Rattus norvegicus: one gene and its partners. The protein of the gene in region 6 interacts with the protein of the main gene of each other region in a pairwise test. Links are inferred from orthologs where the notes say so. Each region holds a gene or a part of one and is shown on either strand. Other genes may lie near its edges.

Region 1 (3,969 bases), on a different chromosome or scaffold from region 6:
GTCAATGCTTTAGTAAGCAGGAAGGGAGTCAATGTTAAGGTAGACCTCCAACTCTCTTTGCTATCTCACTGTTCCTTTTTATTATTTAGTTTTCAAAAATTTTAATCTGTATTTGAGTGTTTTGCCTGCATGTTTGTATGTGCACGGGAAGGTGTTGGATCCCCTGGAACAGATGGTTGTGAGCCACCTTGTGGGTGCTGGGAACCAGACCCGTGTCCTGTAAAAGCAACGTGTGCTCTTAACCACGGCGGCATCTCACTAGGCTCCCCTATAACCTTCTTAACTCTAATGGCTTTATGGTCTGCCTCATCTCATCAATCTACACCCTTGATCGGATCTAAGATACTGCCAATGCTAATGACTTCAGGAGCACTGAAACCTCAGTGGCAAACACGATACTCTCAGAGGATACCTCTCTCACTGTCTCAGCTCACCCAGCTTCTCCTGTATCCAGAGTCCTTTGACCCCACTGGGCCCTCCACCAGCCTATTTTGTCTTCACTTCTAGCCGACTGGTTTCAAATCAATACTCCCTCAATATTTTCCCAGACTACCCTGTGCTCTCAATTCCCCTTTTGACTCCTTGACTAAACTTCACTCTTTCGCTGTATGCAAGCATCCCCGCAGCTAATCACAGTAAGAGAACAAACACCACTTTGATGAGCTGGGTACCACATAGAAGTAAGCCTTATGCCAGTACCTGCCATCACGTGTCTCGTCAATTCTCTGTCCCATTCTTTATTTCATACCTCCTGGAACAACTAAAAAGAGGTTGCTTTGTAGAGGTCTACGCGGAGTATGAAAACCACTCGAATGTGGATCCGCTATGCACCGCTGTCAAGTTGTTTGATAAAGTACAGGTTCTAATTCTGCACCTAGGGCACGGAGAGGCCTCGGTTTCGGCTTTTCTAATAAGCGCGTGTGCCACGGATAGACAAAATGCTTAGGAAGGCAAGGCGCGCCCAGCTATCACAACCTAGGCGGGTCGTTCCCAGCCCCAACCCCGACCCCACCCTCCGCTCCGCCCCAAGCCGGAGCTGCGCACGCACCCACCACAGAGGTGGCCTAAGTGCTGGTGGCTAGAGAGGCAGGCGACCGAGGCTGAGGAGGGGGCGGGGCTGGAGCGCAGGGGGTGGAACAAGAGGCCTTGTGGGCGGGGCCAGAGGCAGAGGCGGTACCGCGTCGCCGGCCTTGTAGCCATTTTAGGAGGAAACCCGGTTCGCTGGCTTGGGGCGCGGCTTCAATTTCAATAACTTTATTGGTCTCCTTGTACGCCGAACAGCCGGCGTGCGTGTAGCCACGCGAGCCCGGAGCGCATCGCCAGAGGTGAGCGGCGTGGGGGTGTGCGGGACCCGGGCTGTGGGGCAGCGAGGGCTCCTGGAGCCGGTTCTCCGAGCTTAGGCGTCCGTGAAGCGGGTAAGGGAGGGGACCCCGGGCGCGGTCTCCTGCGGCGGGGATTCCCTTCCCGGGCGCAGGGGCGGGGCCGGGGCGCTCCTGACGCGGCCGCGGGGGTGTTCCCCGCCTGGTGTCATTCCCCGCGGCAGGTTGCCCCGGACTCGAGCTGCAGCCATGGGAAACACCACCAGTGAGCGGGTGTCCGGGGAGCGCCACGGTGCCAAGGCTGCTCGAGCTGAGGGTGGCGGCCATGGCCCCGGCAAGGAGCACAAGATCATGGTGGGAAGCACCGACGACCCCAGCGTCTTCAGCCTGCCGGACTCCAAGGTGAGGTAGCGGGGCTGCGGGCTGCTCCGCCCTTCTTGGTTCTTCCTCATTCTCAAGGGTTATGGGCTTTTAAATTAGAAGGCTAGTGCGCGGACAGAAATGTTGGGTGCTAATTCCTGGTAGGTACTACCTCAAATTAGGATAGAGGCGCGGAGTTGTTTTCCTGCTGCTTTGAGTAATCTGTGGGCCAGCCTTTTAGGACGGGTACCAAAGACCCATCCCCTGCCCGCCCCATCCTTGGTTGTACGTGCAGGTTGCCCTGTTCTAGAGCTTGCAGGAAGAATAGGTAGTGAGCGCGGGTGGAAACTTCGAAGGGTGCATTGTCTGAGCTCTTGATACGAGCTCAGTTTCTCAATTGCCCTCAAGATAGCTAGATGGTTTCTTCTCCCTGAAAATGTCTCAGTGTAGATCTCGTTCTTGCTCTCTCGTAAGTGCTCTGCATCCCTCCTCCATCCTCGTTCACCGTTGTGTGGCTGAGCAGCCATCACTTGATTATTTGAATACTTTCCCCTAGTCTTGGGAATCAGTACAGGACATCATTTGGTTAATGGCTCAGTTTTTTTAAAAAAGGAAAAAACAGTGCCGTTTTAAAATGTAGCTGAGCGTTTTGCACACCTTGCTGCACTTCCCTGGAGAGCAACTTACTTCCCTTCACTCCTCAGAAGTACTTCAAAATGTTCCCGAGGCTCAAAACCACCCTCTCATGCCCTGAAGACTTTTGCTCTCAATTCCACAGACTTTCAGCCAGAGGCCACTTTTGGTCACCCAAAAGAAGAGCCAGACGGAGCTGACAGCAGTGTGATTACTACTCTAATGTTCCTAATTACTTTTAGAAATGTCAGCGTTAAATACATTTAATTTCTCCTGGTCGGCTCTCTGAAGTGAAAAAGAAAAGCCTTCGGGTGGTTTTTGGGTGGGGTGGTGGGGTGTGTTTGACATTTCTCACCCCAGTGAACTGAGACTTAAGATAGTAAACAAGAGTTTTATTTACCGCTTTGATGGCACATGAATGTTGGATTATATACCATATTTTCTTCGATCCTGATTTAGAACGCCATTTCTTGGGGTTCCCTCTTCCCTGTTTCCTCTCCTCTAGGATTCCTCATTATCTGGGCCCTGCACTCAGCCTAGATTTTCTTCTCCGAAGCTTGTCCAGGGTGACAGACAGGCCGTGTATTTTTGCTCGTTCCTACATTGATGACTCAGGATTTGGGTACAGTCAAACTGTGACTGCAGTAATTGGTGTCCTGAATAAGAGCCAGGCTGCTCTGTGTGCGTTTAGGCCTGTTCTGGATCATTCTTTCCCTCACATCTTGCTGTGAGATGAGAAAAGTAGTTCAAACAATTACCCATGTCTTACCCAGACAGAAAACTTCATAGCCCATGTACTCTCCCTCTCCACACTAAATTTCCTTAAACATTTGCAGGCCGTAATTTGAATTGCTGGTTTGCTGCTGTTCTGATGGTTTCGCTGAGGGTTTAACTCCAGTAAACAGTTTTTCTGCTAGTCAGCTGCAGTCACTCCTACCACAGAAATGTCATGTCATAAGTGGAAGGGCTTTGCTCCAAAGCCAGGCATATTAATAGTTTGGAGTTTTCAAATCCTAAACTGAAAATCCTTAAGTCATAAAAGTAATTGATAAGAATAGTAGGGTTGGGGGCATCTTTGTTTCAAAGGTCAGGCTTATTAATAGTCTTACTCAGTGCTCCTCAGTCCTATTTGTATGACCGGATCCCCCAAGAATGCTTTAAAAACCTTATGGGAAATCTGACACACTTATAAAATGAACAGTGAAATGAACTACGTATATGTCACCCGTTTTAAATGGTGCTAAAAGGTCATTAAATGACTGTGCCTCTGTGATCCAAGCCATTCCCCTACCAACCACTCTGAAACAGATTTCAAACAGGTCAACAAGTAGTATTTCTAACATTTTAGGACGTACCTCAAAAGGTGACTGTTTAAAGCTGACATGATGGTGCCTCACAGCTGTGATCTCAGCTGTTTCAGAGCGGGAGGAGGATCACTGCCAGTCTGGACCACAGTGAGAACTTGACCCCCTAGAGAAAAATAAGAAATGCTTCTCCTTGTTTATTGTAACGTGATAAGAGTGCTGTTACCTGAAGGCTTTTTAAAAAAATATATTCACAAAATCCTTTGCGGGACTCAGACTTGAGGGTTGTTTTGAGGCTTATGGAAACATTCCCAATGCAACTGTCAGCCCCAGTGCATTGCTCTGAGATTACA
Region 2 (3,979 bases), on a different chromosome or scaffold from region 6:
CCTACAAGGTCAGAGGCTGGGCTTTTCCTGGGGCCGAGTCCAGGTTTGTCTCCAACCAGTATCTATGTGTTTATTTAATCAATTTATTTATTTAAATGGAGTCTTGGTGTATAATCCTGGGACACCTGGTACTTGCTATGTAAGTCCAGGCTGGCCCAGAACTCAAAGCAATCCTCCTGCCTCAGCCAGGATTATGGGCGTGGGCCACCACACCTGGCTGTAACCCATATCTAATCTTGAATGATTCACCAAGTCCTCCACCCTCACCTCCCTCTTTGGTCCAACCTGAGGGAGAGAAATAGTATTCTCCCTGGGACAACAGTTTGGGCATCCTTGGCACTTGAAAAGACTGTGTATTACCTTCATTCTGGTGGCTCGGTAGACTTGGGAGGACCTCTCCCCAAATTCTGGAACCAGGCAGGCCTGCAGAACCTGGCCTGTTATAAATCACTGAGCTTTATAACATGCTAGAAGAGCAAAAACACAATAAAGGTAGCCAGCCGGTGTGCCTCAAGTTAAGGAAGCCGGTCCTAGAATCCTGACTTTGCCATTTATCAACTTACCTAGATTTTACAGACTCTGTCCAGACAAGTCTGGGTTCAAAATCTGGGTGTACTGCCACTCTATAGCCTATGTCCCAGTTTCATCATCTATAGAATGGACACCATAACAGTTCTCATCTTACAATGTCGGTGGGAACAAGAAAAAATAACTTCAAACCTTGTGTACCAAGCCCAGCACCGGGCACATCCTCAATAATGGTGGACATGGGTCATGGTGCTACTTCCTCAGAACTCTGCCAGTCAGTTCATCTCCCCTGGTGTCTGTTTTCTCAGATAATAGAGACAATAACCTCCAACTTACAGGTGAGTCCTAATGAGGACATGAGTGTTCAAGTCCTCAGTGCCCAAGCTGTGCACCTTAGGAAGTCAAATGTCAAGTCTTGGGCTCAGTGAAGGAGGAAGGCCTAGAAGGCAGGCAGGTGGCTCAGACTTTGGCCACCACCCTCTCTCTCGTGGCCTGGGACACATTTGATCTTTCTATGATTCAGATGCCTTGGGCACAAACCCAAAAACAGAATGGAATACCAGGAGAGTTAAGGACCCCCAGAACCTCTCTCAGCACACAGTCTGTAAAGGATCCAACTCCTTTCCCTCCTCCTTTCCCGCACCATGTGCCACCTGGAAAGGTCAGCATCTCCATTTCTGGGAACCTAAACGGCTCTAAATCCTGGCCGGTCAACACTTAAGTCTGAGACTTGGGCTTTTTAAAGACAGCAAATGACTTTTGTAGTCATCTCTGAAGCAGACGGGGCTCGGAGGCTTACAACCACAGGGACCATTTTAAATCCCGGGCCTTTTCTTCTGGGAAGTTAGGCAAGAACCTTCCCAAATGTTTGCCGTGGGGCCCTCTGCCAGGGAGTGACTCACTCCTCCGCTCCCCACAGGCATATTTTATTTGGGGGTGGGGGATCCAGGGAGAGCCTGGGCCTGATGGGGGAGGGGAACAGTTTCAACACATCCAGAAGGTGGGGATATTTTTTCTTCTCCAGTTTTCAGGACAAAGAGGAAAAAAAAGAACGTGGGTCTTTTTTGTTTCCTTCCAGGTTTTGTGTGCTGAAAGATGATGTCCAAAGTTCACTGGTTAAGTTCCTCCTGTTGGGAGTCAGGCACCCATTCAATGAAATTCTTCTCCCATTAGCAACAGGGTTTTTAACATGCCCTTTTACACACACCAGACTCCTGTGAGGACATTTTCCCCTCAATAAGTCAACCTGTAGTTTGCAAGTGGTGTAAAACTCTGAACAGAAACTTTCTAAAGTTTGCTTTAAAGCCGTTGAAACTTTCAAACACACACGCACAAACTGTCAATCAAAACGTCACGAACAGCCCTTAAGGATGTGTCCCAAGCGTGCTGTCACCCATTTGTTACTGCCTCTGGGGCTCAGATAAATCAGGGGAATATGATTAACTTAGAGGAGCAGGCAGAGAGAGCAAGTATCTAGGGCCCTGGGTCTCCCTAGGGCCTAACCCCTAGATATGGGGGGCAGAGTCTAAATCTGGCCTAGCTAGAAACAGCCACGAACAAAGCCAGGGAACTAAGACGTATTTAGAAAACCTCAATTCAAGTGCAGCGCAGCCCCCTCCTCAGCCTGCGTGGCCATGCAGAGTTCTGCCAAGGCCAGACTGAGCAGCTTTCACCAGAATCAGAACCTGGGGGATCTGCGTGTCTGTCCCAGGGTCCCAGACTCACGGAATCCGACCCAGCACCGTCTCCGGACAGGGTCAGCCGACACCTCACACACACACTGGCCTGCAGTGTGGAGTGCTCAGCCTGGATCCTAAACACACACTCGTATGGAATTTGTACACTTTTGCCCGTGCACGTGTGCACACACTCACTCGGGAACGTTCAGACACGTGGGCACACGTACTCCTTGGCATCCACAGTAAACACACGATAAACCGATAAACCGAAGCGAAGCCAGTCCACACGCACCGGTCCACCCCAAACTCACAGTCGGGGCCCCTGATGTGCACACGCACGCACTCCCGCGCAGCGGGGCGGATGGAGCCCGCCGCAGATACCTCGGCCTCCTGCGGGCGTCCCCGCCGACTCCCCGGGCACGCGCGCGCGCCCACAACGCCTCGGGTAAAGGCCCCACGCCCTGGCCCGCGCCCCTCGCTGGTCCCAGGCCACTCACCGGCGCTGGCGGCTCTCTCGGCGGCGGGCAAGCGCGAGTCGCACGCGAATTGGCGGCGCTGCGGCCGCAGCTAGTCCGCCGGGTTCAGCCGCCGCTTCTGCGCGCGTCCGCGCGCCCGCCCCTCCCCGCCGCGGGGCCGCGCCGCCCCCTGCGCCGGTGCGCGCGGCCGCCACGCAGGCTAGGGGGCGCCGGGGGCGCGCTCCCAGCCTGGGTGCTTAATCGTCCAGCCCAGGTTGGAAGACTGAGGCTCAGACTCCAAATCCTGGCCACTGAACCCCTCTGCGCGGGCTCTAGACTCTATAAGATGCAGATTCGCTGGGTAACCAACTTGTGGACCCTTCCCCACACCCATGAATTCCCCATCAGCCGACATTGCTCCTATCACAGCCCTTGCAGGACTGAAATTGACCCATCCAACAGAGTGGAGAAGAAGGTGCAGTTCAGTTGATAGAATGCTTTCTTAATCTCAGCACTAGGGAAATTAGGTACCTGTCATCCCTGACTACGAAGGCTGAGGCAGGAATGTTTGAAATTCATTCATTCTTGGCTATTTAGCAAATCTCAAGCCAGTCTGGGCTTCATGAGACTCTGTCTTAAAAAAAAATTAGCATGAACAATAGTACAAAAAGTGTACAAATAGTGCTCAATACAGTTACAAAAGTAGGCCCCTAGGATAAATCCAAATCCCTGTCTCCAAAGCGCTAGTATCTCCTGGGGATACTGCTTTCCTGAGAGTCCCAGGCCAGCCAAGCATCAGGGTGCAGAAGGTTCTAGAAGGAGTAAGCGGCTCCACTAGGGGCCAGCCACATACCCTGGGGACTGGGTGGGGAGTACCTGAGTTTGATCTTCCAGACCCACACGAAGGGAGGAAAGAACTCTAGCAAAGAACTCTAGCAAATTGCCTCTAACCTCCACATGTCCTCCAAATGCACACGGAATGGCGTGGTTTTTTTTTTTTTTTTTTTTTGTTTGGTTGGTTTTTTTGTTTGTTTGTTTTTGTTTTTGTTTTTTTGGTTCTTTTTTTTCGGAGCTGGGGACCGAACCCAGGGCCTTGCGCTTCCTAGGCAAGCGCTCTACCACTGAGCTAAATCCCTAACCCTTTTTTTTTTTTTAAAGCCTTCATCTATGAATACTTAACAACCCCATTAGGATGTCTGGAGACCCTCACTTCCCCTCAAGAAAGGTTGCTCCTGGTTGGGACAGGTATTGCCGCTTCTGATTCTTTTAGACTGTCTGTGTCCCCAGAGCACCTTCCAGCTGTCCATTAATCTGCTG
Region 3 (4,003 bases), on a different chromosome or scaffold from region 6:
ATACATATACAGCCACCCAATTAGACAAGATGGATGAAGCAAAGAAGTGCAGACCGACAGGAGCCGGATGTAGATCGCTCCTGAGAGACACAGCCAGAATACAGCAAATATAGAGGCAAATGCCAGCAGCAAACCACTGAACTGAGAATAGGTCCCCTGTTGAAGGAATCAGAGAAAGAACTGGAAGAGCTTGAAGAGGCTCGAGACCCCAAAAGTACAACAATGCCAAGCAACCAGAGCTTCCAGGGACTAAGCCACTACCTAAAGACTATACATGGACTGACCCTGGACTCTGACCCCATAGGTAGCAATGAATATCCTAGTAAGAGCACCAGTAGAAGGGGAAGCCCTGGGTCCTGCTAAGACTGAACCCCCAGTGAACTAGTCTATGGGGGGAGGGCGGCAATGGGGGGAGGGTTGGGAGGGGAACACCCATAAGGAAGGGGAGGGGGGAGGGGGATGTTTGCCCGGAAACCGGGAAAGGGAATAACACTCGAAATGTATATAAGAAATACTCAAGTTAATAAAAAAAAAAGAAATGAACAATAATTTGATTGCATAGCTTGATAGTAAAACAATTTTATTGTGCTGTTAGCCAAAATATTTACCTACAGTAAACATATAGTTAACATTTCCAACAAATTTACAAAATTATACAATGAGAAGTTAACCTCAACTTTAGAGTATTTTCATTTCTCTAATAATCACGTTGCCCTTCGGTTCTAATTCCATTTATTGTTTTTTGTTGTAGGATACGGAGCTGATATTATCTCTTCTAGTTTCTCTTGCTATTCATAGAGAGTGTAAACTATATCTTTATCTGTTAATCTGCTTGAAACTGAGCTACAAGTGGATAAAGGTCCTCAGCATAAAACCTGATAGTCTGAATCTGGTAGAGGAAAATATTTGGATTATACTTGAATTTACTGACACAGGAATGCATTTTCCCCAGTAGTTAATACATTAAATCCAATTAATACATGGTAACTCATGAACTAGACCGCTTCTGTAAAACAAAAGACACTACACTATCACTTAAGTAACGAGGCAGCCTTTAGAATGGGAAAAACTTTAACAATTATGTATGTGGGATGATGTCACTGGTGAGGCAGGTACAAGATAGAATGAGGCCTGTCATTGGACGAAAAGGAAGGATGGGCGGGAGAAAGTTTTGAAGGAAGAGGAGGAGACAGAAACGGAAGAGGGGAGGAGAGAGGAGCGAAGCCGCGGCAGAACAATTTGGAAGCCTGTGTTTAGATTCCACGCTGTACCTCAGCAGGTTATATATGTTCTTAAGGGATGGATGTGTAATGGGCTTTGTATGTTTAGGTGGGCAATTGTATTTTATCAATTGGATCAAAAATTATTGTGTTGTATCATCTTTCATGTGTAGATTTAAATGTAAGGAAGTGTGGGGCGGCTTGTCTGGGTCGACATGGAGTTGGGATGTGTGTTTCTGGCATGGAAACCTGCCTTGGGACCTAGATAGGTAGAGAGATTTCTTCCAGGCTCAGAGAGGCCTTCGGCAGTGTGATATGGGATGCAGCAGAGCAGGTGAGACGCTTTGCTGACTGAGTTTGGGATATCTATCAGATATCTTGGGGGTACTGTGGTGCCGGACCTAGAGAGGGTATAAGACAGCATTTTATTTTTATAATTTTCAACAACATATATATCTGACACGTTAATATTTAGAGTAAACAAGGAACTACACATCAAGAAAACAAACAATGTAAGTAAAAAATGGGGCGTAAAATTAAACAAAGAGCTCTCAAAAGATGAAATGAATATGACGGAGACATTTTGTTAAATGGTCAACATCCTTAGCCATTAGGGAAATGCAAAGTAAAACTACTTTCAAATTTCCTCTTACTTCAGTCAAAATGACTAAGATACAAATAGCAAGTGATGACAAATACTTGTAGGGATTTGGGGAAAGGAAGCACTTGTTCACTACTTGTTGAAGTTATTCATCAGTGTGTTCACTGTGGAATTAGTGTAGAGTTCCTCAAAACACTGGAAATTAATCTACTGCTTGGGCATATACCAAAAGAACCCTATATCTTACTAAAGAGACACTGTCTCATTCATGTTCAATGCTTCTGTATTTATGATAACCAGAAATGGAAACTCCCAGATGTCCATCAACCAATGAATGGATGGTAAAAATATAATACATTTATACAATGCAATACCATTCACCCATTGAATACTAAAGTTGAATTTTTCAGGTAAATGCATGTATTTGAAAACAATCATTCTGAATGATGTAAAACAGACACCCTCCTCCCCAAAGGACAAATGTTGATTGCTTTTACTTGTTGCAGATGCTAGTTTTGCATCTTCAGATTTGTGTATTTATTTTGAAATGCCCATGGAAGTCAGGAAACTAGTAAGGACATATGGTGGGGCATAGGATGCTTTTAAGGGACCAATTAAATGATGCAATCATTTAAAGGGAGAAAAGGGAATAGTGAAATAGGAGGAATGAATAAGGTGGGAGATGGGTAAACTGGTTAGAAGAATATATACATAGAACAATAACAAAAGATCTATGTACAAAGTCATATGGAAACCTATTCCCACATATATTGGAGCTGTTAGCCAGTGAAGTCCCATAGACCTCCAACTATTAAATGCTATTGATATTGCTCTTGGTTATCCTCCAGAACTTGACAGTAAGACCTTATTTCTGATGACACCGCATACTTGAGTCATAGAACAGAAAGAAGTCAAACTGGTATCCATCTGATAGCTTCATTCTTACTGGATAAATTCCATGTTGCTGAAAGGTGCTATGTACGTTAACAGAATGGAAAAATAATCAGTAACTAACTCAGTTGTACAATGGTGGCATGGATATTTTAAATGTAGTAAACTATTTTTTTTCATTTAAGGCCTGTTCCACAAGATGAAACACATAACTAGCACAATTATTGAGGGCAAGAACTTTTGATCAGGTAATTCATAGTCCCTAGGGAAGAATTTGCTATTATTATTCTGCTAAATGGACACAGTGTTAGTATAAAACTTAGCACTATGCTAGTAGATTTGTGGGTAGTTCAACCCTCATCACCGTCATCGGAGTAGCTTCTTTTTGAAGTAAATGGTGCTAACATAAAGAACTAAAAGCAGCTCCGGTGCACTAGAGTAATAAACTACAGAATTCTCAGCCCAAATATGATAAGTGAATCATACCTCTTCACCCAAGTCAGGGATTATTGCAGAAGAAGGAGTGAAAAAGAATGTTAGAGCTTGTCAATGTGGATAAGGACAAAGAAACAGTACTTTCTGGGAACAACTATGTGGTTTCACATGAAACCCACAGTCACTGAATGTATACAACCCGTGTAAGTTCAAGCCCAACAGAATTTCACCACGGGGAGAAGAGGTGGGTATATTTCACATCTATGTGAAGACGATTGTCAGTTGATGGCTTCTAAAAAAGGAAGCATCAGTTTTGCTTAAGGGTGTGGCTTAAAGTCTAATGGATGACCCTATACCCAAGAATATAAAGATAACCCAAAGCAGACTGGATGAGTTAAAAACAAAACACAAAACCCCAAACACAAAACCAAACCAAAACCCCACAAAGTTCGGTGGGCAGGACAAAGGGCATGAATCTGGATGGTTTTAGAAGAGACAGTGGTGAATATGCTCAACTTGTATGAACTTAAATAACTAACAAAAGTACTTTAAAAGAAAATGGACATATACAGTATGATGGTATTTTTTTTTCCTGCCATTTTCAGTTTGTATAATTTTCCATTCCAGCATCAGTGTGTTAATGCCAATTCTGTGTGCCCTTACTGGCACGTGACATTTTCACATTTTCCTTACTATTTTCTTGTTTATCTGGCAGGGCTGTATCTCGAAGTTTCACCCTCTTTTTTCCTAGAACTTCATGATATTCTGCATCTTCACCAGTGATTTCTATTGGTGCATTTTCTCTTTGGAAATGTTGGTTCACATATTTTTTCATGTTAAATTCTATTTTCTCATT
Region 4 (4,247 bases), on a different chromosome or scaffold from region 6:
GAAAGTAGGGGGCAAAAGATTCTCATCCCCACATGCTACTCATCTCCCAAGAGAATGGTATGGTGTGTGTGAGGGACTGAGGACTCCCCTTCATTACCTTCCGTGCTCACTCACCTTCCATGCATTCATTCACAGACTCATAGTCAGCATAAGTCCTGCCTTCTGGCCTCTTGGTAGGCTGTACCAACAAAATGGTGTGAGACTGAAGGGGAAAAACAACTTCAATGAATATCCTAACAAGCAACTCAGAAATTCACGTCATGACATAAGCTCCAACATGACGCAGACAGGTATTATAGTTACTGAAACATAACTAGGTTGCTCATCCTGCAGTACTTCTGTATCAGTGTTGGGTCACAACTCCCTTAACTAAGTCAGTCCTTTACTCTCTGCTGCATCATTTCTCAAACTCCAAATATACCTGCTTCTGTATTTTTCTTACTAACAACCTTTAGAACCTGTTTTCTGTCTCCACTGGCCTCTAGCTCTATTAACTCAATAAAAACTAAGACATGGGGTAATCAAAGGAGAAAGGAAATACTATAATCACTGTATCGACCTAATGTCTTCTCTGACTTGAGCACAACAGTGGAGTCACATTTTATACAGGAGCTATTAAACATCAAGATGTAAGAAAAAGTAACAATATAAAATGTATATAGTAAATACCACACTAAAATCATCCATTGCCTTAAAGGGCCAGCGCATACCCAAATCATTTATCTGTGAATTCAGAGGGACTGCAGGACGCTGAAAGCCTTTCTCCTGCTCACTAGGGAGTGGAGTCAGTTCAGAGTTCTCAGTATATTCTGGGACAGTAATGAGTTCTTTGGGTTTGACATAGGATGTTTTGTGGCATCTTTGGTCTCTACTCACTATATGTCACCAACAACAATTCCCTTCAAAGTAGCAAAAATAAAAAATGTCTTCAAATGAGACAAAGAAGAATCCTGGTCAGCATAATCTTATGTAGTGTCTCCCATGCATTTAAGAATGAATAATTAATTAAACAAATGCTAGCATGATGCAACCCCACTGCAAGCCTAATCCTCAACCAAACTATTCACCTTGTTTTCTTCACTTGCAATACTAGTGTTTGGTAAAAAATAAATTCTTATGTCAGGATGTCCAAACTATTTTGAGACAATCCAAAAATTTAATTATCAACAAATGGAACTGAGAATCTGAGATCTAGGCTATCTGGGTATTAAAAAACAACAAAAAAGTAATTTAAATTTCATATAGCAAGAGAACATTATTATTTCTCCATCCCCAGAGATTTGTGTCATTTTGATTAAGTTTGAGAAGACTTGAGACGAAACCCTAGGTTGGTAACAAAAGAAACTGTAACGATGTAAACAGTGTTTTTTTGGTGATTAATAGGCAGAGAAAGTGGGATTAGTTGTGTAGGGGCTCATAAAAGGCCAGCTACTCAAAAGTTACTTTCAGAATGTCTGTGGTTGAGAAGAAAATTGGTCTCATGGAAACCATATTTACTTTCTTGTAACGGCTCATCCTAGACAACAAGGTAGTCACTCTTTGCCACATTTTTAAATTTTTTAAGGCAAATTAAGGAGTAATTTGAAATAGTAACATTTGAAAAGTAAAAACACACCTGCTCCAAATCTTTCCCCTTTGTTTACTTAAAAGCAGGAGGGCTGGAGTACTGGAGACATGGCTCAGTGGTTAAGAGCACAAGCTGCTCTTCCAAGGGACCGGTTTTCAATTCCCTGCACTCACATGGTCGCTTACAATCACCGGTAATTCCAATCCAGGGGATCGGACGCCCTCTTCTGTCTGCCGCAGGCACTGCATGCAAGTGGCACAAGACATGCAGGCAAAACACCATACACAGAAAAGGAAATCTTTTAAGATCCGAAAAAAGAAAAACGAGAATGTTGATAGCTCATTGGTTAAGAGCACGTGCTACTCTTACAGAGGGCATGCGTTTGGTTCCTAGCACCCACATCCTCCGCTCACAACCGCCTGTTGTAACTCCAGATCCTGGGGATCTCATTCCCTTTTCTAGCCTCCGAGGGCACCTGTGCTAACGTGCAAACAGACACATAACTTAACAAACTAAACAAAAACATTCCTTGTTGGATTTTAGGGCCAGGACCCTGGAGTCTCTTTTTTGGCTCCACTTCCAAGGCAAGATTGAATGCTGACATAATTGCCAAAACAGGGCAAGTAAGGATACTGAAAAAGGGAAAAACTTTTTTCTTTTAAGTTCGGGGGCCGAGGGACGGCTGATGCTGCACACTGCAAAGCAAATCCGAACCCCCAGGCCGACATACGGGAAACAGTAAAGGTGACGGGTGTGTCAGTTTCAGGAAACGTCTGACACACGTTCCCCGGCCATTGTTCCTAGAGTCCGCTAGTGCATCTGAAGAGAAAGAACGGCACCCCACGCCTCCCTCTTACAGGCAGCGATCGGCAGATAGCGTATTCTCAGCCCACCGCACACATCGCCCCCAGCATCAGGGCGCGCAGCCGCAAGTAAGACCAGGTTCGGGGCCTACAGTCAAGGCCCCGCGGCTCAGCGCCGGGAAGGGAAAGGGTCCATCCGCGAGCTGGGGGGAAGGGGGCGGGGAGCAGCTCGCTCGCGCTAGATGGGCAGGGGCGGGAAGGTTGGGAAGATGTATGGAGCAGGGGTGGCCCTGGAAGTTGGGGGACCCCGGCAACCGCTGAGAAACTCACCATCGCGCCAAACGCTTTGCTGCAGCCGCCGATAACACCTCCGCCGCCGCACACGAGCTCAGCCGCAACGCCGCCAACAGCCAATCCCGCGAGAGCCGTCGCCGGAAATCGTCGGAAGCGCGACGCAAAAGAGCCTTTCGGACCATAGAGATTCACACATTTCCGGTTTCTAGAGTGGATACCGACTCTGTTTCAGCCATCTTGGATAAGGGCGCGGAGATGTGTAAGAGAATCTTTCGGAGCTTTAGAAAGAACACTTTGTTTCAGGGTGTTGCCTTCTGTACTTTAATTAACAGATAGGCGGCTAAAGTGATGGGGAATACAACAGCGACACCAGTCATCTCTTTTTAGCCTTTCTAAAAAATGGCGGCAATATAAGGGCCCGGGCCTATAGGTCGGTTGTAACCCGGAAGTGCCCTGCTAAAGAGGAGGCGGCGAGACAATCCGGAAGTGGGAGTAATGAAGAGGTGCCACTTGGCGGCCATGGCAGCTGTAGTATTGGCGGCTCAGGGTCAGGGCCTGGCTGAGGGAAGTACCATGGGTAGCACCGGGTGTAGGACAGAGACAGCGTCGTATCGACTTTGCTGTTGAATCCTCCAGCCCATTGTTAGAGACTTGCAGGACATCTTGCCCGACTCTAGACTCGAAAGGTACTTTGCTGGCACTGGTGGGCTGGTCCCTTCCCTGGGGGCGTATCACCTGCGGTGCCACCCCTGGGAACTGGTACCGCGTGTGGAGAAGACACTTGGGTTTACCTTTTTTTTTCCTGCTGCTACCAGGGACGTTGTCTTGGGGAGCGGGTCGTCGTGTCACCCTCATTCTGACGATTAAGGAGATCTCTTTTTGCACAATTTCTCCATCTGTTACCTACCGGAATCCCAGTGACTGGCAACCAAGTACCTAAGACTGCGCAAAGTTTTCTCTGGTGCTAGTATCAGCAAAAGGAGCTTGCTTCTTAAGAGAGCGGCGGGCTTCATGAACTCACCGGCCGGTGGCAAGGCTGAAAGAAGTGAGGAAATTCCCGTTTTCTTGGAAGACCACACGTTTAAACAGCCCAAGCGCCGTTTGAAACTGGAATTTTAAAGCCTGGTGGAGGGGTGACTACAGGAGGGCAGAATGGATGACTTTCTCTCCATTAGTCTGCTGTCTTTGGCAATGTTGGTGGGATGTTACGTGGCTGGAATCATTCCTTTGGCTGTTAATTTCTCAGAGGTAAGAAATTGTCCGTTTTCTGCCAAGCATTAGGTAGGATGGTGCTAGACATAGTGATATTTGCAAAGAAGCTGCTTCTCAGCTCTAAGGACTCATTAAGGGAAAGATGTAACATTTCACAGTAGAAACAAAGCTCACACTCAGCCCTATAAATCTTAACCAAGAGTGGTGGAAAGATGATACACTGGAGAACCTGGAGTGTTCAGAATCCTCTGAAAATTATACACCCCACCACTACCAAAAGTTGGGGCTCTGCATTTTTCTATAGACAGGAACCACAGTTACATTTCCGGAGGTTTCAAGAAATCAAGATATCAGATAAAACCAAATGGAAA
Region 5 (4,178 bases), on a different chromosome or scaffold from region 6:
AGTCTGCCAAAAACCCAAAATATGACATTAAGTCAAGGCGGTTAGGAACCAATTCTATTGTCACCGTCTTCTGTTCAGGTCCTTGGAAAGTGAGGTTGTGATCACAGACATTTTTGTACCACATGTAGTAGCCGTGTGGACCCAGCGAATTGCTGGTAATGTTTCCGAGGAATGTCCCACTGTCCAGAACTGTCATGGAAACCCTCCCAGCCCGCCCTAAGCTAGCCCTTGAAGTTGCAGAAAGGTGGGCAGCATACCTCTGTCCAGCTACATGCCCCTCTAGGACTGAGTGACCTGACCGTCACTACTCAGGAGGGACAGGCAGTAATGTTTCTGGAATCACAGGAGGGATGTGTGACTCAGCCCTCCCCCCAGGTCTTTTCTCCTATACCCCCACAAGCCCAAGGTTATAAACAAGTGACTCAGAGGCATGGTTGGGGAGCGCTCCATTACACCTCCTACCAGTGTCCCAGGGCTAAATTTAACCCACAGCTGCAGCTTTTGGCGCTTGGAGAATTCGTTAATCTTGGAGGCTGAAGCCCATGTGTAAATTTGGGGGATGGACAGGAGTCCAGAGCAAAGTGGGGATTGAGATTGGGTATCCTGGCTCAACTTCTCAACTCCTCAAATCACAGACGACAGCTACGGGGCCCCCAAGGCCAGGGAGAAACATGGTAAATCTCACACAGATTGAGGACAATGGGACAGAGTTATTGAGCAGTAATCAGACTCTTGGAAGTTCCACCATTTGGACACTAAAATTCAGAATGCTATTAGAATATTAAAATTTAGGTCTATCCTCACCCCCACTCCCACCCCAATAGTAGAATCCTAGGAAATTAATTTTCTAGCAGGCTTGACACCTTTGAGTCCACCCTGCAGCTACCCCAGGGTCTCTTGCCCTTAGCAGAGCTGAGCTGAGACCCTTGGATTCTGGCTCCTCTCCCTCCTTGAATGGGAAAGGAAACTGAGGCCCAACAGAGAAACACCTACCCTTACTGAGCTTGGGCAGAGGAAACTCCTTCCCATTTTGGGTCTCTAAACAGAGACTGCCAAGGACAAAGGCATGTTCACCAAGCAGGAAACCAAACATACTGTAACCAGGGGTGGCTACAGTCCCCTTCGTGGGTAGCCACATTTCTGGACTAAGGAATCCAGAGACAAAGCTTTCCTGTGTGCTGGGCTAAGAGACCTTCCAGTTGTGGAAAGGTCCAGACACACCCCACCCTCGCCCCATGATCCCCTATCTCTGACTCAAGGCTGCTCAGGGAGAAAGCCTCTGCTCAGCTGTCCCCTGTGAGTCATTTGCAGGAGGCCAGGCGGCTCCTCTTACAGGGTCCAGGCATCCTCTATATATAGCCCAGAGAAGACAGCTGCACAGTCAGTGCACTGCCCCACAGGAGAGCAGAGGTGTGCAGGGCAGCCCTTGACAAACAGACTTGCTGAGTTCCAGAGAGCCGCACCATGACGCTGGGCTTGGAGCAGGCGGAGGAGCAGCGTCTGTACCAGCAGACGCTCCTGCAGGATGGCCTCAAGGACATGCTGGACCACGGCAAGTTCCTGGACTGCGTAGTGCGTGTGGGTGAGCGCGAGTTCCCGTGCCACCGCCTGGTGCTGGCTGCCTGCAGCCCCTACTTCCGTGCGCGTTTCCTGGCTGAGCCAGATGGCGCGGGAGAGCTACGCCTGGAGGAGGTGTCGCCTGATGTAGTGTCCCAGGTGCTGCACTACCTGTACACATCGGAGATCGCGCTGGACGAGGCAAGCGTTCAGGACCTGTTTGCCGCGGCGCATCGATTCCAGATCCCGTCCATCTTCACCATCTGCGTGTCGTTCCTGCAGAAGCGCCTGTGCTTGGCTAATTGCCTGGCTGTCTTCCGCCTCGGCCTCCTGCTGGACTGTGCGCGTCTAGCTGTGGCCGCGCGCGACTTCATCTGCGCACGTTTCCCGCTGGTGGCACGCGACAACGACTTCCTGGGACTCTCAGCTGATGAGCTGATCGCCATCATCTCCAGCGATGGCCTCAACGTGGAGAAGGAGGAGGCAGTGTTCGAGGCTGTGATGCGCTGGGCCAGCAGCGGCGATGCCGATGTGCAGGCCGAGCACCAGCGTGCGTTGCCCACGGTCTTCGAGAGCATTCGCTGCCGCCTGCTGCCTCGTGCTTTCCTGGAGAGCCGCGTGGAGCGCCACCCACTTGTGCGCTCCCAGCCTGAGCTGTTGCGCAAGGTACAGATGGTGAAGGACGCACACGAGGGCCGCCTCACTACGCTGCGCAAGAAAAAGAAGGAGAAGGGTGAGCAGACAGCTCGGACCAAGGAGGCCAACCAGGGCACAGAAGACACCAAGGCTGAGGATGATGAGGAACGAGTGCTGCCCGGGATACTCAATGATACTCTGCGCTTCGGCATGTTCCTGCAGGATCTCATCTTCATGATCAGCGAGGAGGGCGCTGTGGCGTACGACCCAGCTGCCAACGAGTGCTACTGTGCATCCCTGTCCACCCAGATCCCCAAAAACCATGTCAGTCTCGTGACCAAGGAGAACCAAGTCTTCGTGGCCGGTGGCCTCTTCTACAACGAGGACAACAAGGAAGACCCTATGAGTGCTTACTTCCTGCAGGTGCCTGGCCTGCCTTGGGAGGGAGGGACTAGTGCTGGGTTCTGGGAAGGGCCTGCGTCTACTTGGGGGTCTGTCATTGGATCTAGGACCTTTGATTGGCAGCCAGTTGCTTGAAGGGGAAAGAGTTACAGCCAGTTTCCAAAGAGGCCCAGCGGAGGGGTTGGAGGGTCAGAGACAAGTGCAAAGAATCAATAAACAGGGCTTTGGCAGAAGTGCCAGGACCGGGTGGGGAACAGATTATCACACAGAGAGCACCTTGCTTTCTCCTTTCCAGGGCAGGAAACTGAGTCTCAGCAGGGGCTGGGAGGCAGGTGAGCCAGTCCAGGTTGAGGATGCCACTGTGAGAGCTCAGAGGCAAGGAGAATCTACAGCCTGACCTGTGGTTTTGAGCCTTGTCAGCTGGGTGAAATCCAGAGATGTGAAGGGGGAGGGGAGGGAGTTAACACTGTTGGTAACCCAGACAGACAACCCTGTCACGATGGCCAGGTGAGCTGGTATAGGCAGCCAGGGGCTGATAAGCAGCTGGGTGCTAAGGTCAAGTCCACAGGCCCCACAGCTGGAGGAGGTGAGGGGCAGCTCTCCCAGGCCGTCTGGGAGAAGTTTCTGAAGTTAAATGGTATCAAGTGTCTATCCATACCATGCAGCTACTGGACAACTCTCTGAGGTGGGCCCCTTGTACTTATAACCACTGGGTTAGGCAGACACAGATGGTGGGATGGAAGGCTATAGATTTTAAGGGGTGGGGGAAAGGGCTGACCCAAAGATACTGCCCGCCCACAGTTTGACCACTTGGACTCTGAGTGGCTGGGGATGCCGCCTCTCCCCTCACCTCGCTGCCTCTTCGGCCTGGGGGAGGCTCTTAATGCCATCTACGTGGTCGGCGGCCGGGAGCTCAAGGACAGCGAAGACAGCCTGGACTCAGTCCTGTGCTACGACAGGCTGTGAGTGTGTGTGCAGGGGTTGGGGCCACCTTGGGGGACAGGATGGTCTGGGGCAGAGGCCATAGGGTGGGGCTAGGACCACAGTAGCAGCCAGGAGGCCTGCACAGGTGCACGGCCATCGGGTGAAGACCTGAAAATAGTCCTTGAGCAGAGGAGTAGGTGGGTTGGTTCGAAGGCCCAAGAGCTCAGGGGAGGGGAATGTACCCAACGCAGTCTGGGTGTGTGTCGTGGGTGTGAATTCGGAGAGCCAGACTCCACAGGAGCTTAAGCTGCACTCCGGGCTCTCTCGTTCCTCCAGGTCATTCAAATGGGGTGAGTCAGACCCGCTGCCCTATGCGGTTTACGGCCATTCCGTGCTTTCACACATGGACCTTGTCTATGTCATTGGCGGCAAAGGCAAAGACAGGTGAGGTTTAGCCTGGTGGCGAGGAGGTTCTGTGTGGCTGAGGGGCAGACAGTTGTCCCCCACCCCAGCCTCTGTCTTCACTCACCCCATCTACCCCACAGGAAATGTCTGAACAAGATGTGTGTCTACGACCCCAAGAAGTTTGAGTGGAAGGAGCTAGCACCCATGAAGACAGCCCGCTCACTCTTTGGGGCCACCGTCCATGATGGCCGCAT
Region 6 (4,200 bases):
ACTGTGGGTGAGGGCTTCAAGACCCTCATCCTAGCTGCCTGGAAGCCAGTATCTGCTAACAGCCTTCAGGCGAAGATGTAGAACTCTTAGTTGGTAGGCATTCTCCTGACCCTTCTTAGCCCTTGGGTAGTGTGTGAATATTCCTTGTTCTTTTTTCACTTTCATAGCAGTCTTACTGAAATCTTGAACACATTTTCACCGGTGAGGTGCTTTGCACTTGACCTCCAAAGTTCATTTGGTCACTTTCATCTTTGGATTTTGATATCCAACATCCCATTTTTGTTAAATCTTTGGTGTTTTCCTTCTGTTCCAGTCTCCCGCCTCCAACTCCATTTACTAGCATTTCATTCATTTTTCACACGTTATTACCTGAAATAACTGTGGCACCTTATAATTTAATGCACCTGTACAATGAACTCAGTGATGAGTAGGGTCCTTCTTTTCCTTGCTCATGACCACGATCTCAGATTTTAATACAGAATTTGCCACATGTATACTAGCCCGTTTAATGATGAAATCTTATCTCTGGGTAACAAAATTTCAACTCACAGCTCAAGGTCCTTGGTACTGTTGAATTTCTCTCCTCGGTACTTATCTGTAGTAAGGATAAGACTTGAATTGTTAATTACGGTGACCCCAACGCTCTTCACGTAGATGATAAACTTCAAATCCGCCTGGGGAACTCCCACAATGAACTTAAGTTTTGTATGGATTTAACATTCAGCAAATTCAAACAGTAGTGACATCTTCCAGTTGGGCTAGACCAACCTGCATTACCAGAGTCACTGGAGATGACCTTCAATTTATAGCTAGTTGATTGTCTTTACTCCAGCCAACTCAGTTTTTTTACTCCGGACTGTACCTAGGCGCTTTAGCTACAAGGGGAGGTTCAAAAGCAAGCAGTTTGACAGAAATTATGTTAGCTGTGACATCTTGGCCTAAAGACCTAAAATAGTTGGGTAATTTTTCATCAAGGAAATCATTTCTAGTTCAACCTAAAATGGCCTCAGCAATGAAACAAGATGGAAGCGTCTCTGTACAATCTCGCCCTGATAGCACCTAATACAGAAAGAGCCGGAAAGCGGCCATGAGCAACCCACAATACACTGGAGGAGGTTCCGGCTGAGGAGCCTCACTTCCTGCTCACGCCTTCTATATCCGGCTGCCTACATCTCGCGAGAAGCCAGGGAAAGCTCGGTCGTCCAATCCAGAGCGAGCTTTGCCCCTCCCGCGCGCCTGCGCATAAAAGAAAAAGCAAGAGCAACGTGGACGCCGGCGGCGGTCGCGCCTGCGCCTTGGCGCGCTCCCCGTGATTGGCTCCCGTGACGCGACCCACGGAGCTTTAGTTTTCACTTTCTGTCTTCTGAGCCCCCTCCCTCTCTCACGGTCCACGAGGTTTCACTTCCGGTTACTGGTGCCGGGGGGGTGCCGGAGGGCGGACGCGTTCCCAGCGCCTGGCTGGTTTCTGAAGCCGCTTCTCGCCCGTGAGACTGAGTGAGGGACCGGAGCGTGCGCGCGCGGCCGGGGAACACCCGGGTTCGTGAGGCGAGGTCCGGAGACGCGGCAGGACGAGGGGCCAGGAGGAGAAAGGGACGGGCTGTTAAAGCATGGGAAGGACACTGAGCTGTGAGCTCAGCTCCTCAGGGAAGGCTGCCTCGCCGGGGACAGGTAACGCTCCCTCAGGGGTCGGGGCGTCCGGGGTGAGGAAGAGCGGGGCACGCGTGGTGATTGAGGGCTGGTGGGCGGGCGGGCAGGGCGACGCGCGGGGCCACTGGGCAGACGCCTCGGTCGCCCGGGACGCGGGGCCCCCATGCTCCGACCTGGAGAGGAGGGTAAGGTTAGACAGGGTCTCCACCGAGCCTGTGGAGGGCGTGGGAATGGGTGTCTGCACTCTGAGGCAGAAAGCCGGGCGCGTTTTGTTTGTGTCACCTGTCACAGGGCAGCTCCATGCCCAAGGGAGGTGATCGGCTCTGCACTGAAGCGTTGCCTTGGTTTGGGGTTGGCCTAGCTCCTCCTCCCCCAGAGGGGTTTTGGGGAAACCCTCAGGTCGGGTTTCTGGATTCCGTAGAATCCAAGGCAACGCATGACAAGGTTTACCCTTCTTTATTACGTACAATGGGCCTTCCCCATATGGAAGAGAGCAGCGGGCTGCAGCCACGTTGAAGGAATGTTGCAGTAGGCTGGTCCCGGCGTTGGTTAGAGGCGAGCCGGCGGGCACTTGGTAGGAAAACGTGGCTTAACTTTGAAAACTGGAGTTGGTTTGAAAGTTCTCGGGTCTCTTAAGTCTCGGTTGATGCGCCTTACTTTAAGCTACTCTCTACTGTACTCTTTCTGAAGGGAAACTTAGAACGGGAAGTCAATCAAAGTCTTTCCTAAACCTGTATAATACAAAAGCACCTGGGGACTCAACAGTGTCCGCCCTCAGAGGAGCAAAAGGAAGGCGGGGTGAATATGTCAGAGTGTAGAATCTGAGATTGTTGGAAAGCCTACCGAAGAGGTTTAGGACAAAGCACATACACCTGATAGTGTAAGCGAATACTCTCGTACTGGAAAATGGTTTGGTAAAGGATAGTTCAGTGTTATCAGTGTACATCAATACCTAGAGAGCCCAAGATAGAAAAAATAAAAGGTAACTGAGTATTTCTCAGTAATTACTATTAAGGACGATGATGTTGGAAGTGTGTTGTCAGTTCGTTTCCTACAATCTTTCAAATAAACATAAATGGCATCTCTTCTAGTCTGTAAACATTTGCTTAAATACATTGAAATTTGAAAACCGCCAGGAAACTTGCCTGGTACTATTTGTTACCTGTAGCATATCCGTTTAGCACAAATATGTTGGACATGTTTATCCGTCGTATCTTGTCAGTGGACATTTTTAAGATTTTTCTTATAAAAATTCTTATACATATATATAAAATGTTTTTCAAAGATGTATTTACTTTATTTATTTGAGTACACTGTAGTTACCGTCAGACACACCAGAAGAGGGCATCAGATTCTATTACAGATGGTTGTGAGCCACCATGTGGTTGCTGTGATTTGAACTCAGGACCTCTGGAAGAGCAGTCAGTGCTCTTAACCGCTGAGCCATCTCTCCAGTCCATAACAATTCTTCAGAGCTGTGTTTTTCACCTGCAGCTGTTATAAACAGGGTTTAGTTGCTGATGATAACTGTTTGTAGAATCAAATTTTTATGATAATGCTAGGCAGTTTGTTAAAAGCCCTGGGATGATTTTACTTTTAAAATTTAATTCCCCTCAGATTTGGTTTTCATTACTCTCCAAGGCCGCACCGGATGGTAACAATGTTTTCTAAACATTTTAACTCATCTAATAATTGAAAAATCATTTTAATTTTTAATCTTTCCTAGTGAATAAGAAAGGAAAACATTTGGGACAGCCCAGTATCCCTTGTTTATGATATTGGGTCTGAACACTCTGCTTTGACCTATTTACAATTACCATACTGTTTTAGTTATGGTAGCTTTATGATATACATTGGTACTTTCTTTTGGGTGGGGGAGACCAGGGAAAGCTCAGGATTCTTCTTTGTTCTTCCAGATAAATCATCTCAATCTCTATAGAAAACCACATTGGGATATTTGTGTTTGCGTTATATAGCTTATTCATTGCATTTATATTCATTTACGAAAAGACTTTATTTTTTCCTTCCAAGAATATATCTTTATTGTGTGTGAAAATGTGTTTACAAAAAAAGCAAGCAGGCTATTTGGCTATTTGTGCACATTGTTAATGAGCATTACAGGAACCTTAGAAATAGATTGTGTGTTTTCTAGAAGGAAAATCTCGCTTGAACTTTCACCGTGATCCTTATTTCATTAAAATATCTTGATCAGTCTTGAACTTAGAGAGTCATACTTTATATTCACATTTTGTTTTGTGTTCCAAAATTTATATTAACAGCATGTGTCTTTGTCCACATTTTTTTTTTAATTGTAACCCAGGCTACCCTTGAACTTGATATGGTAGCAAAGGCTGGAATTGAACTCTTGATCTTCTGATAACTCCTCTAAAATGCTGGAATTACAGACACACTGCCATGCTGCATTTGTGCCATGCTGGTGATTGAGACAGGGCTGTATATTCTAAACAAGCGACAAGCACTAGTCTACATCCCCAGCCAGTTCTTCTACAGTTGTAAAAATACTGCATTACTCCAGTTACATCTATTGATAAA

The links.
Region 1: the proteins of Tasor2 (region 6) and Prkab2 interact in binary tests that used the Homo sapiens proteins (3 or more experiments, as listed by UniProt). The link is inferred for Rattus norvegicus from reciprocal best matches to the Homo sapiens genes TASOR2 and PRKAB2.
Region 2: the proteins of Tasor2 (region 6) and Nek6 interact in binary tests that used the Homo sapiens proteins (3 or more experiments, as listed by UniProt). The link is inferred for Rattus norvegicus from reciprocal best matches to the Homo sapiens genes TASOR2 and NEK6.
Region 3: the proteins of Tasor2 (region 6) and Ldoc1 interact in binary tests that used the Homo sapiens proteins (3 or more experiments, as listed by UniProt). The two-hybrid records come from large-scale screens. The link is inferred for Rattus norvegicus from reciprocal best matches to the Homo sapiens genes TASOR2 and LDOC1.
Region 4: the proteins of Tasor2 (region 6) and Erh interact in binary tests that used the Homo sapiens proteins (3 or more experiments, as listed by UniProt). The two-hybrid records come from large-scale screens. The link is inferred for Rattus norvegicus from reciprocal best matches to the Homo sapiens genes TASOR2 and ERH.
Region 5: the proteins of Tasor2 (region 6) and Klhl40 interact in binary tests that used the Homo sapiens proteins (3 or more experiments, as listed by UniProt). The two-hybrid records come from large-scale screens. The link is inferred for Rattus norvegicus from reciprocal best matches to the Homo sapiens genes TASOR2 and KLHL40.

What each region holds. Positions count from the first base shown.
Region 1 is NC_086020.1:187,944,840-187,948,808, forward strand, and holds the start of Prkab2 (5'-AMP-activated protein kinase subunit beta-2), read left to right. Parts: upstream 1-1,169; 5' UTR 1,170-1,325; exon of another isoform or gene 1,326-1,415; intron 1,416-1,543; 5' UTR 1,544-1,568; coding exon 1,569-1,721; intron 1,722-3,969. UniProt on the Homo sapiens protein: Non-catalytic subunit of AMP-activated protein kinase (AMPK), an energy sensor protein kinase that plays a key role in regulating cellular energy metabolism.
Region 2 is NC_086021.1:42,692,815-42,696,793, reverse strand, and holds the start of Nek6 (serine/threonine-protein kinase Nek6), read right to left. Parts: upstream 2,801-3,979; 5' UTR 2,705-2,800; intron 2,698-2,704; exon of another isoform or gene 2,500-2,697; intron 2,427-2,499; exon of another isoform or gene 2,403-2,426; intron 2,276-2,402; exon of another isoform or gene 2,254-2,275; intron 1-2,253. UniProt on the Homo sapiens protein: Protein kinase which plays an important role in mitotic cell cycle progression. Required for chromosome segregation at metaphase-anaphase transition, robust mitotic spindle formation and cytokinesis.
Region 3 is NC_086039.1:145,000,564-145,004,566, forward strand, and holds the start of Ldoc1 (protein LDOC1 precursor), read left to right. Parts: upstream 1-1,203; 5' UTR 1,204-1,279; intron 1,280-4,003. UniProt on the Homo sapiens protein: May have an important role in the development and/or progression of some cancers.
Region 4 is NC_086024.1:106,019,722-106,023,968, forward strand, and holds the start of Erh (enhancer of rudimentary homolog), read right to left. Parts: upstream 2,801-4,247; 5' UTR 2,704-2,800; coding exon 2,701-2,703; intron 1,810-2,700; coding exon of another isoform or gene 1,753-1,809; intron 203-1,752; coding exon 115-202; intron 1-114. Other genes in the region: Slc39a9 (zinc transporter ZIP9), read left to right, coding at 3,817-3,912. UniProt on the Homo sapiens protein: May have a role in the cell cycle.
Region 5 is NC_086026.1:130,317,415-130,321,592, forward strand, and holds the start of Klhl40 (kelch-like protein 40), read left to right. Parts: upstream 1-1,378; 5' UTR 1,379-1,464; coding exon 1,465-2,616; intron 2,617-3,396; coding exon 3,397-3,557; intron 3,558-3,855; coding exon 3,856-3,963; intron 3,964-4,064; coding exon 4,065-4,178. UniProt on the Homo sapiens protein: Substrate-specific adapter of a BCR (BTB-CUL3-RBX1) E3 ubiquitin ligase complex that acts as a key regulator of skeletal muscle development.
Region 6 is NC_086035.1:71,503,422-71,507,621, forward strand, and holds the start of Tasor2 (transcription activation suppressor family member 2), read left to right. Parts: upstream 1-1,400; 5' UTR 1,401-1,668; intron 1,669-1,788; exon of another isoform or gene 1,789-2,221; intron 2,222-4,200.